Schizosaccharomyces pombe: one gene and its partner. Changing the gene in region 1 together with any one later gene gives a genetic interaction. Each region holds a gene or a part of one and is shown on either strand. Other genes may lie near its edges.

Evidence for each region. A genetic interaction does not mean that the proteins touch.
Region 2: of tts1 (region 1) and yop1, changing one enhances a phenotype caused by changing the other (phenotypic enhancement), as found in Schizosaccharomyces pombe (one study listed by BioGRID).

Annotation. Positions count from the first base shown.
Region 1 is NC_003423.3:4,366,096-4,372,086, reverse strand, and holds tts1 (tetra-spanning protein 1), read right to left. Parts: upstream 3,746-5,991; 5' UTR 3,699-3,745; coding exon 3,639-3,698; intron 3,540-3,638; exon of another isoform or gene 3,453-3,539; coding exon 2,673-3,452; 3' UTR 2,271-2,672; downstream 1-2,270. Other genes in the region: COG complex subunit Cog3, read right to left, coding at 1-268, 310-846, 890-1,120, 1,176-1,313, 1,354-1,524, 1,575-1,976, 2,019-2,087; arg41 (argininosuccinate lyase), read left to right, coding at 5,320-5,991. UniProt on the Schizosaccharomyces pombe protein: Required for the correct positioning of the cellular division plane by delimiting the actomyosin ring assembly at the cell equator.
Region 2 is NC_003421.2:2,195,293-2,198,805, forward strand, and holds yop1 (ER membrane protein DP1/Yop1), read right to left. Parts: upstream 1,909-3,513; 5' UTR 1,821-1,908; coding exon 1,770-1,820; intron 1,637-1,769; coding exon 1,354-1,636; intron 1,231-1,353; coding exon 1,016-1,230; 3' UTR 501-1,015; downstream 1-500. UniProt on the Schizosaccharomyces pombe protein: Required to generate and maintain the structure of the tubular endoplasmic reticulum network and the vacuole. Induces high curvature in membranes and causes membrane tubule formation. Involved in membrane/vesicle trafficking.

The sequences.
Region 1 (5,991 bases):
TTTCGTAAACAAGTTGTAAGACGCCTCTCAAGTTAGAACGCCATTCACGAACACTATCCCATACTTTTCGCAGATCAACGCCAGCTTCAATACAAGCATAATGTATATCGAATGAGTTCAACTGGTCTTTTAAAACCAAAAAATTTTTGATTAGAAAAAGCCTTGCTAACTGCTTATCATTGTTCCGGCTAAAATAGCGGTACGCATCTACCAAGGAACGAATGCAGGAGTGCACGAGTTCAAGGGCTATCTCGTCAAATACTTGAGACTAAAAACTGTTAATGGATAAAGTCTAAATGAAACACGTACATTCACCAATCGATAGATTTTCGACAAAATAATTAAAGATTTTTGTACTACCGGATACCAGCCTTGAGCCATAGCAAGTTTTTGTGGAACATCGGGGTCTAGCTTTTCTTCATCATTATTCAAGCGTAACTTTTCTAAGTCGAAGAGCAAACTTTTGTCATCTGCAATAGGATTTAAATCTTCTTCCGTAGGGGAATATCGTTGAATATCGGTTTCAATGGCAGTTTGTACCACAAATAAAAGACGCTCTTGCAACTCAAGTACAAGAGGATTAAGAAATTCAACGACCTTTTTATCAACGTCCTCCCTTTCCCCTTCTAAAATGGCGTTTTGAAATGATTGGATATAAGAACACACCTCGCAAAGTTCGGTAAGGTTTTTTTCATGCAAAATTAATGAACGACTATTTTCAAAAAAGCTTTGACAAAGATTATTCCAATAATGCATAAATCGAAAATCATCCATGATAAGAATTTCACGGAATAACTTATTTTCATCAAAAAAAGTAAGTTGTAAAAGAGCAAGTGATTTTTGGATCTACGGTATCATTAGTTAATTATATATGTTTCGTTAAACATACATAGCTTGAAATGGATTTCTCCATAAAAAAACTTTTCAAATGATAATCCAGTACAGGTTTCAGAAGCCGCGTGCGGCATTGAAAATAGACATCATAAAAAGCAGGAAGAAAAGCATCTAAACTTTCTTTAGAGCATAATTTACATAATTCAGTGATAGTGGGGCAAAGGTTATGACCTACAGCACTAAATCGGGCGTAGAAGAGTGAACTATGAAGCTGTTTGTGAACATCCTAAATAGTTGTTAATGATTGGGGAAAACAAAAACGCCCAAAAGTATATGCCTACCATTTTTTTGGAATCCTTTAGCACTTGATCAGTAGTTTGTTTAATTATCCGTATAAAATACGGTTTAAATATATCCATCGCTTGAGATAGCAGTTTCTTGTATTGACCAAGGTAATGCGGACTTTCTTGAAAATCCAACTAAAAAGTCAGCTAAAATAAAAAACATGGAATTTCGTACATTTTCTTCAAGGAACATGATGCAAGTATTTAATTGAGTAATGTGCTCTTTAAAGGAAACTTTGCCAGCAAAGTCAGGAGGTGGATGCCGAAAAACTCGAGTAAGCTCTTTCAAAGGAGCAAAAATTGTTAATCCTTTTCTTATGCCATCGGCTATTTCGGAAAACCGCATCTGTTCAAGGTGTTAGTAATGATAAGTGGTATGCAGCACGCTCCTAATACCTCATCTGTACTAAGGTTCTCACACATTTCAGAGAATTCACTCAGCTTTTTTTCAGAACTTTCAAACTTTTCTTTCATTGATAACAATGTTGACTCAATGTTATTAGTCTGACCCAATATCTGATCAATAATGTTTGTAAACGTTTGAAGTTCATTAATTTTTTTTTCCGCGTCTTGCTCAATAGAGAAAGTAGGTCTAGAAATTATCCATATGGGGTTCATCTTTTCTTCAAATGGAAATAACGACTGCTTTTCTACGGTTGAATTATTGGGATTAGGCAGAGAAAACGGACGTGCCGGTAAGCTTGAAGAATCATTTAAAATTTCCGTTAAAGAGTCGCGTCTTTCCTTAGAAATGGAATGCACTGTTTCGATATTTTCAAGTTTGGCGACTTCGGGTAGCTAATTGGGTAAGCCCTTGTAAAAACATTTATCTAAGCTTACTTTTATATCATTTTGAGTTTCATTATCCTCATAGTTGACAGCAGGATAAAACTCCAACTGATCAAACATCGTTCAAAATAATTACGATAATCAGAAAAACATCGAGCACTTTGTTGGTGTTTCCCAGTGAACCATAACACAGCGCTACGTTACTTTGCGCAGATGCTAAGAAACAAAACGCATTAACATCACATAAATTCAATTGAAACTGGTATTTTATCCAATGTAAACTAATAACTTGCTAGATTTCAAGAGTGCGCTGCTATACATGTGTTTATTGTGCTACAAAATTCAATAAAACGTATTATTTTTACCTCTTAATCTTTTAATACTCAAAGAGTTTTTGGATAAACAACATATATCCATATTTCAATTTCCTTGAAAAAAGCTAAACTAAAGTCTGAGGAGACCCCCCAAACAAAGATAACTGAAATAGAGGAGTAGTGAGCAAAAATAAATAAACGGAATTATCTCAAACAAGTTTTTAGAGAAAGAGGTAAACGGTATGAACATTCAAAATTTACTTGGGTGAAATAGAAACTACTCGTTAATAGTAAAGAACTCAAAAACCAGGAGCACTTAGACATATTAAAATCACACTGATTGGTGAAATTTATATAAATCTCTAGCAATCAAAAGGAATAAGGCATCACTTTAAGTAGATGAGGGAGCAGTGGTAGAGCTTGATGCAGTGGGACGGCTTTGAGCAGTACCTACAGGTGAAGCACCGAACTTGGACACATAAGTTTTGAATGTATGCCAAGCATTTTTGATAACAGGAGGAACTCTGTTATCTGCAACCAAACGATCCATTCGAAGGCTAACGGCTTTAATGGATGCACGAGTAAAGTGACTATTAGTGTATCTCATGCGAAGAAAGAAAATATAGCCCACCAACCTGGAAATTGAGTTTTTACGTAAGAAAACCCCAAAGAACAAACGGAACAATAAAAATGTTTCGAGAGAAGCAACAAGTTGCATAGCAGGTTGAAATTGGCTTCGAGTGTACTGATTTAGCAAATTAGAAACACGAGAAGCATAAGACGCAGTTTTCGCGTCAGAAATATTAGGGTAAATGGCAGGCAAAAGCACACTACGCAAGTAAGTGGAGATGTGGAAAGTGGCGTAAATGGCATATGGAGCGAGAGAAAATAGGATGGGACGATCAATCAACATTGAAAGAGCTAAAATAAAATACTGAACATTGTCATCGAGCATAAGACGGGCAAAGAAATGCTTATTCCAAGAAGCACGGGAAGTCAAGTTTGGACTATAAGTTTTGTAAAGGACAATTGCATATGCAACGATGGCACCAAAGGCAGCGCTTTTAAACAAAAATGGAGGAGCGGAACGAAAAGGGATTGCTTGAAGAGCATACAAGACGGAAGAGATTAGCACTATTACTTGCCCCGAAAACCAAACAAACTGGGTGTTCTATAATAAACGGTTAGTAATGTATTAAAAGAGTGAAGACAATATGACACTGAATCAAAATAAAATAATGCTGACAAATTAGTCTATGTTTTAGTAATAGATTACAGTTACGTTATGGAACTAAATAAGAAACTTTTCTTATAATCAACATTTATTATCTGATTTACACATGATAGATATATTTACCTTGACAACAGGTAAAACCCTTTCTTTTAAAGGCTTGACAACTCGTTGTTTTGGCTCCATTATAGCAAAGTTGTTATTTTCAAAGTTTTAAAGATGTGGCTTTTGTTAAGTTAATATCCAGCAAAAAGTATGTTGTAATAGTTGTGATAGAGTACAATGTACGCTTACCAATGGAAGATCCTAAATTTTCCTACATCAGAAAAAGAAAACCTATGGAACTTCTGTGAAATACGCTAGTACACGTTTTGACTAGAATTCTTTTAGCAGGAATATAAGCGCTTAAAAAAGGATTTACGCCTTTGAGTAGCATTCAAGCTATTACAATTAAATAGATTTAAATAGGGGCTACACTCTTTAGTTTTCTAAAATCCAATTGTTTAAGTCTAGCAGACACTCCAGAAAGCTAACATAATTCATTTACGACCCTTGATAACAATGTACAAGAAGCTCTGACTAAAATTTTTCAAAGTGAAATGCTAAAGTACGATGTTGTTTGTTACGCTATCTGTTCTATGTTTTACATGGAAACAATAAATGGATTAATTCTTGCACATTTACTAGTGGACAATAAATGGTTCAGATTCAACATTACTATATCACACTTGTATTGCTCGGCAACCTTCAATAACTTCTATTTAAAAATAACTAGCAAGATCTAAACTGGCTCTAGAGTATTCTCGAAGATAACACTTTGTGGATTCCGTTTTGAGTCCAGACGTTCTGTTAACAACATATCCATACGTAAATTGTTAAGTTATTTGTTGGCGAAGACGAGTACTATAAACGAATTTTGAGAAGCTTGGTATAAGTAAATGTTAGACTGTCGAAGTAATACGCCCTATATGTGTTCATGCCAAAAGAAATCAATAATATAGTTGACAATTTGAAATGCAGTGTATAATTTAAGGCAGTAAGAGACGAAAGTAAAGAGGGAAAAGGAAAATCATGTACTGTTATCACTTTATTCTTCGTTGATTTTCTTCTTCTTTATAATCCCACTATATTTGGTGGATTCATAAACTCGGTTGGTCCATGTTTATTTTAATTGATTTTCGTTAGCTATCTTAAAAGAAATTGGGCGGAAGATGCATCATAATGTTTAAACCAGTTTAGTCTGATCAGACACTAGTAAAAACGAGAAAACAATACTTATCTACCAATGAGTTTTCAGGCATCTATAAATATCGTTCTAATAAAAATCGAAAAAACAATCACAACTAACAAGAAAATCTTTTAAGAATTCTCAATCTTTATAACAGTCAATTTTCTTAAATCTAAGCTAATGCTCGCGAAATTCTTTGGTAGCTCTGAGTTAATAAATCAGAAAGACAAAACAAATCATTCAGGTTGAGTACATTTATACAGTAAGATTCCAACCAAAGCTTCCATATATGATATCTTTTGTAAACTTAAGGAAAGAAATAACGAAGCGGAATGTAAACATTTATTAAGTGTTTATACGTTCCAATACGTTAGATCTTATTATAGCGATTATAATATCAATTTCATATCTATCGCCGTATCGTTAATGTGATATAACAATAGGTTGCGATAAGGAAGAGGTTACACGGTCATATAGCCATACTCTCAAAAGATTAGATAAATTAAATTTTAAGTAGTACTACCTCCTTTTTGCGTTGGTTGAAAACTTGAAAAACTGACTCTGTTTTAACAATTCTGAATGGCTTCTTCACAAAAACTTTGGGGCGGTAGATTTACTGGCGCCACTGATCCCTTGATGACAGCTTATAATGAGTCTATTCATTATGACAAGCGCATGTTCAATGCCGACATTGATGGCTCGAAAGCTTATGCTAAGGCATTAGAACAACGCGGAATCATTAGTGCTGATGAATTGGATAAAATGTTAGATGGTTTAGAGGCTGTCCGAGATGAATGGAAGACAAATAAATTCACTCTTCAACCTTCTGACGAAGATATCCATACTGCTAACGAGCGCAGATTGGGAGAAATAATTGGTACAGGCATTGCTGGTAAGCTTCATACAGGAAGAAGTCGCAACGATCAAGTTACGACCGATATGCGCCTTTGGCTACGTGATGAGTTGGACATCATCCAAAAATCTTTAGTTGGGTTACTCCAAGTTTTTGTTGCTCGTGCAGAGTCTGACCTTGATATCATTATGCCCGGTTACACTCATTTGCAAAGAGCCCAGCCTATTCGCTGGTCCCATTTCTTATTGTCTCATGCCTTTTCTATATTAAATGACTTGGATCGCTTGAAACAAATTTATTCTAGAGTCAACCGACTCCCTTTAGGCGCTGGTGCACTTGCTGGTAATCCTTTCGCCGTAGATCGTAAGTTCTTACAAAAGGAACTTGGTTTTGAAGGG
Region 2 (3,513 bases), on another chromosome or scaffold:
ACGAAATGAAAGTTTTATTTTTCCACTTTTCTTGTGTTATAACTCCTTTATATATATTTCGTAAGAAAACCTTACAATTCAAATTGTACAATGTTCCTGAATTTTCAAGAAAAATAGTACCAAAGTAGTGTATGTAAAGTCAATAAGAAATACTATTCTTTCGACCAAATATTAATGGAATGTAAACGTTGCAATACACTCTAAATATCGTTTGGAAACGAAACAAAATGTGTGAAGACAGTAGATGTTTTTGTACCCGCTGGGACGGACCATATACCATGGCATGATGTAATGCTAGAAACTTCGAGTATAAGCGAGAAACTGATGTGGTTTAACGAAGTTTCTTAAATGCACAATGTAAAGTGGTAGAGTTCATTATTGTGTTTAACGACGCTATAATGGGTTAACTGTTTATTGAAAGACGTATTGTATGTATTTGTACAAAATATAAATTGATTGCGATATTTTTATATTACAATTCTACAAAGCGGCAGTTACTTTGAGATAGTACTTTGTTATTAATCTTCAGAATTTTTTTCAGCAATTTCGAATATGGGTATATCATTGTAAGTATACTGTAGTCTGGTTATTGCTTTTGGGATGTGTGTGTAAGTTACTATAGTTGCCATAAAATAAATGTCTATTGCAATTTCGGTACTGTGGTAAAGCATGCAGCCTTATAATTTTGTACTGCTCAAAAAGACTACGCGATATACATATAGTATAAACCCTTCAACATTGCCGAGGTCCATGCCGAAAGCGGCATATAAAAGGCCAAATTTTTTTAAATTTTTGACAGTCAATAAAAATAATCAGAACTAGAGGAAAGAGATTCAGAAAGGCAAAGCTTCTGAAACACTGAATTATTTGCAATTGTCCAAAATATAGTCAATTGTGATGGGAAAAAACAAGAAAACAACGTTACCGTTGTATGATTTTCAATCATTCATCGAGTAGTATAGCATAACTATTCTATGGAATACAAGTCCATTCCAAACATTTTGTTCAGAAATCTCTAGATAGAGGGTGGAATGTCAGTAGCGGTAGTATGTGCAAAAGAAGAGGCTGTGGGCGCAGGAGCGGCATTTTGACGAGAAACGCTTTTGCAAATACGGATCACATGAGGAGTGATATAGGGACGGATCAAGTGTCTGTAGATAATGGTAGCACCGTTGAATTTAGGCAAAGCAAGCCAAATCAAGAAAATAGCCTTGAGTAACCAATACACAGCTAAAAAGGAAAATCCCCAGTTAGTAAATAAAAAAAATAAATTTAAAAGCAGAGAGCAAAATTTATTAGATCCTTAATGATCTTATAATCACGCCTCTAAATACAAAAAATTTAAACACTTACGGACATAGTAAAGGATTAGCTGAGACCAGTACTCAATAACGTTGAGGAATGAAGTTACCAAATAATAGGTCAACCATTGAGTGTCATCGGCCTTGTTAGTAGTTTCAATAGCATTGATACTAAAGAAGGCAGGCATCGCGAATGCCAGAAGGTTGGTCAGTAAAAATCCACCCCAGTTCAAGAAAAGGAACAAGGCATATATACCAGCTGCAGTAAGAAAAACATAAAGCTTGCTAACACCAAAATTTTTTTCCAAACTGTTGAGTTGAGGAAAGGCTGCCAACTGGAAAAAAAAGTTAGTAAACAAATTTGAATAGAAAGAATAATTTCTAAAATCACAAGATACTAATAATAGCCTATATTGCCGAGTGCGTAAAGCGGCTTCCATCGGATATCCTGCCTTATTGCTAACATACCCTGTTATCCAAATCTTGCATATTCTGCTTAACACGAACTTGAAAAGACATTTTGGTACTGCTTAATTAAATTATCTGAGTGTTCAATAATTTTTCTTTTGAACGAACTATTTGTCTTAGAATATGGGAGTTGTTTGCTAAAGATAAGTTTGCATTTATTCTATCGGTGGTAGTGAACAACGTCACGATTACAGGCATTCGCTTCGTACCGTCAGTGTGGTATATTAATTAGTGCATAGGAAAGTCGCAGTAAATACGATACTGTATAGTACAAATACAATCCGATTTTCAAAAGAATTGCCGTATGTATTTTCAGCCGATCAAACAGTCATCTTGTGTTTCTGTCTAAGTTTATTTACTTCATTACCAAAGCATTTAACAGTAAAAAAACCATAGCAAAAATGAGCGATTTACTTCCACAGTATGCTACGTTGTATTGTTTTAACCAAACCATGAACAACTGGACTATGCAGTTCGCTAAAGTCAAGCCCTGCAAAATATGTACGGTTGCATTATCTAAAGTTAAGGAGGACAACCGAACTTTACGGTTCTCTGATTTAAAGAATGTCTACATTACATACAAGTCTGCATAGATATATATCACTACCAACATTACTCTTTCAATTGTAATTAAATTACTACTAAATGTAAACAAGTTTTGACTTAATAAAGTAAATTTTTAATTTCTTATTAAATTTATAGTATCGGTAATTATCAAAAACTCGTGGATCGAATAAAAAAACCATCTCAAGAATAGGATGGTGTCTAACTGTTAAAAACGGCTTCTTTTATCTATTTCAAAATTAGTAAAGAATTTTCAAACTTAAGACCAAAAAGTTTTAAGCAAATGAAGAATTTCATCAGTGTAACTATGACAAAATGCTTTATCACTGCAAGAAGGCAACCAAAACGATTACCCCGTTATCCTTGCTATACAATTTGGGTATATATTTCGCATCCTCTGAAATCTCCATTTGTGAAATGATGAAACTTACCTATTTACTATTTAGATGAGCACACTCCAGGTGAAAGAACTATGCAAAAGCAGAAAGCACAGTGCCCTTTATATTCTTCTTAATGTGACTGTTTTTTTGGGGTTTTCAAGAGAAGATATCATAAAATAGCATACATAGCTGTTAATCAAGGATAAGAAGAAGTAATGTTCATCGAAAATAATTGATAGATTAGTTTATTGATATTGTTAATCATTTGAGTAATTTCTGATGTTTTCGTTATAAGGATATGGTTGCTTCTTTGACTCAGTAGGATTGTTATCTGGTTTTTAAAATCGTTACTTGAGAAAATCCCCTAATTTAAGGAATTTTTATATGTTTGTTGGGATTATAGCTGTCTTTGGCTACTGTTAACTGTTGTAATGACAATAGTTTTGGTTTATCTTTCTTACTTTAGACCTTGTAGAAGCACCGGTAAATGTCAAGCAAACTTTTCAAACTGTAAAGTGTATACAGTCTTTAACGACATAGAATTATAGCATCCGTCAACAGCTAAATAAATTATTCGTTTGTCTGTAAAAAATAAAATTGATAACGATTGCTGGAAATTTAGAATCATTGGGATATATTAAGGATGTACCTTCCCACGAAGAAAACACATTCATGAGATGTTTACTGAGACCTGCAATGATTTTTTTCATTCCAATACGTAAATGTTTATTTTTTTATGGGCAAAAGTATGCATTCGTAGATACAACTCTTTTTGGCCGTTGTCAAGCTTAACAGATGAT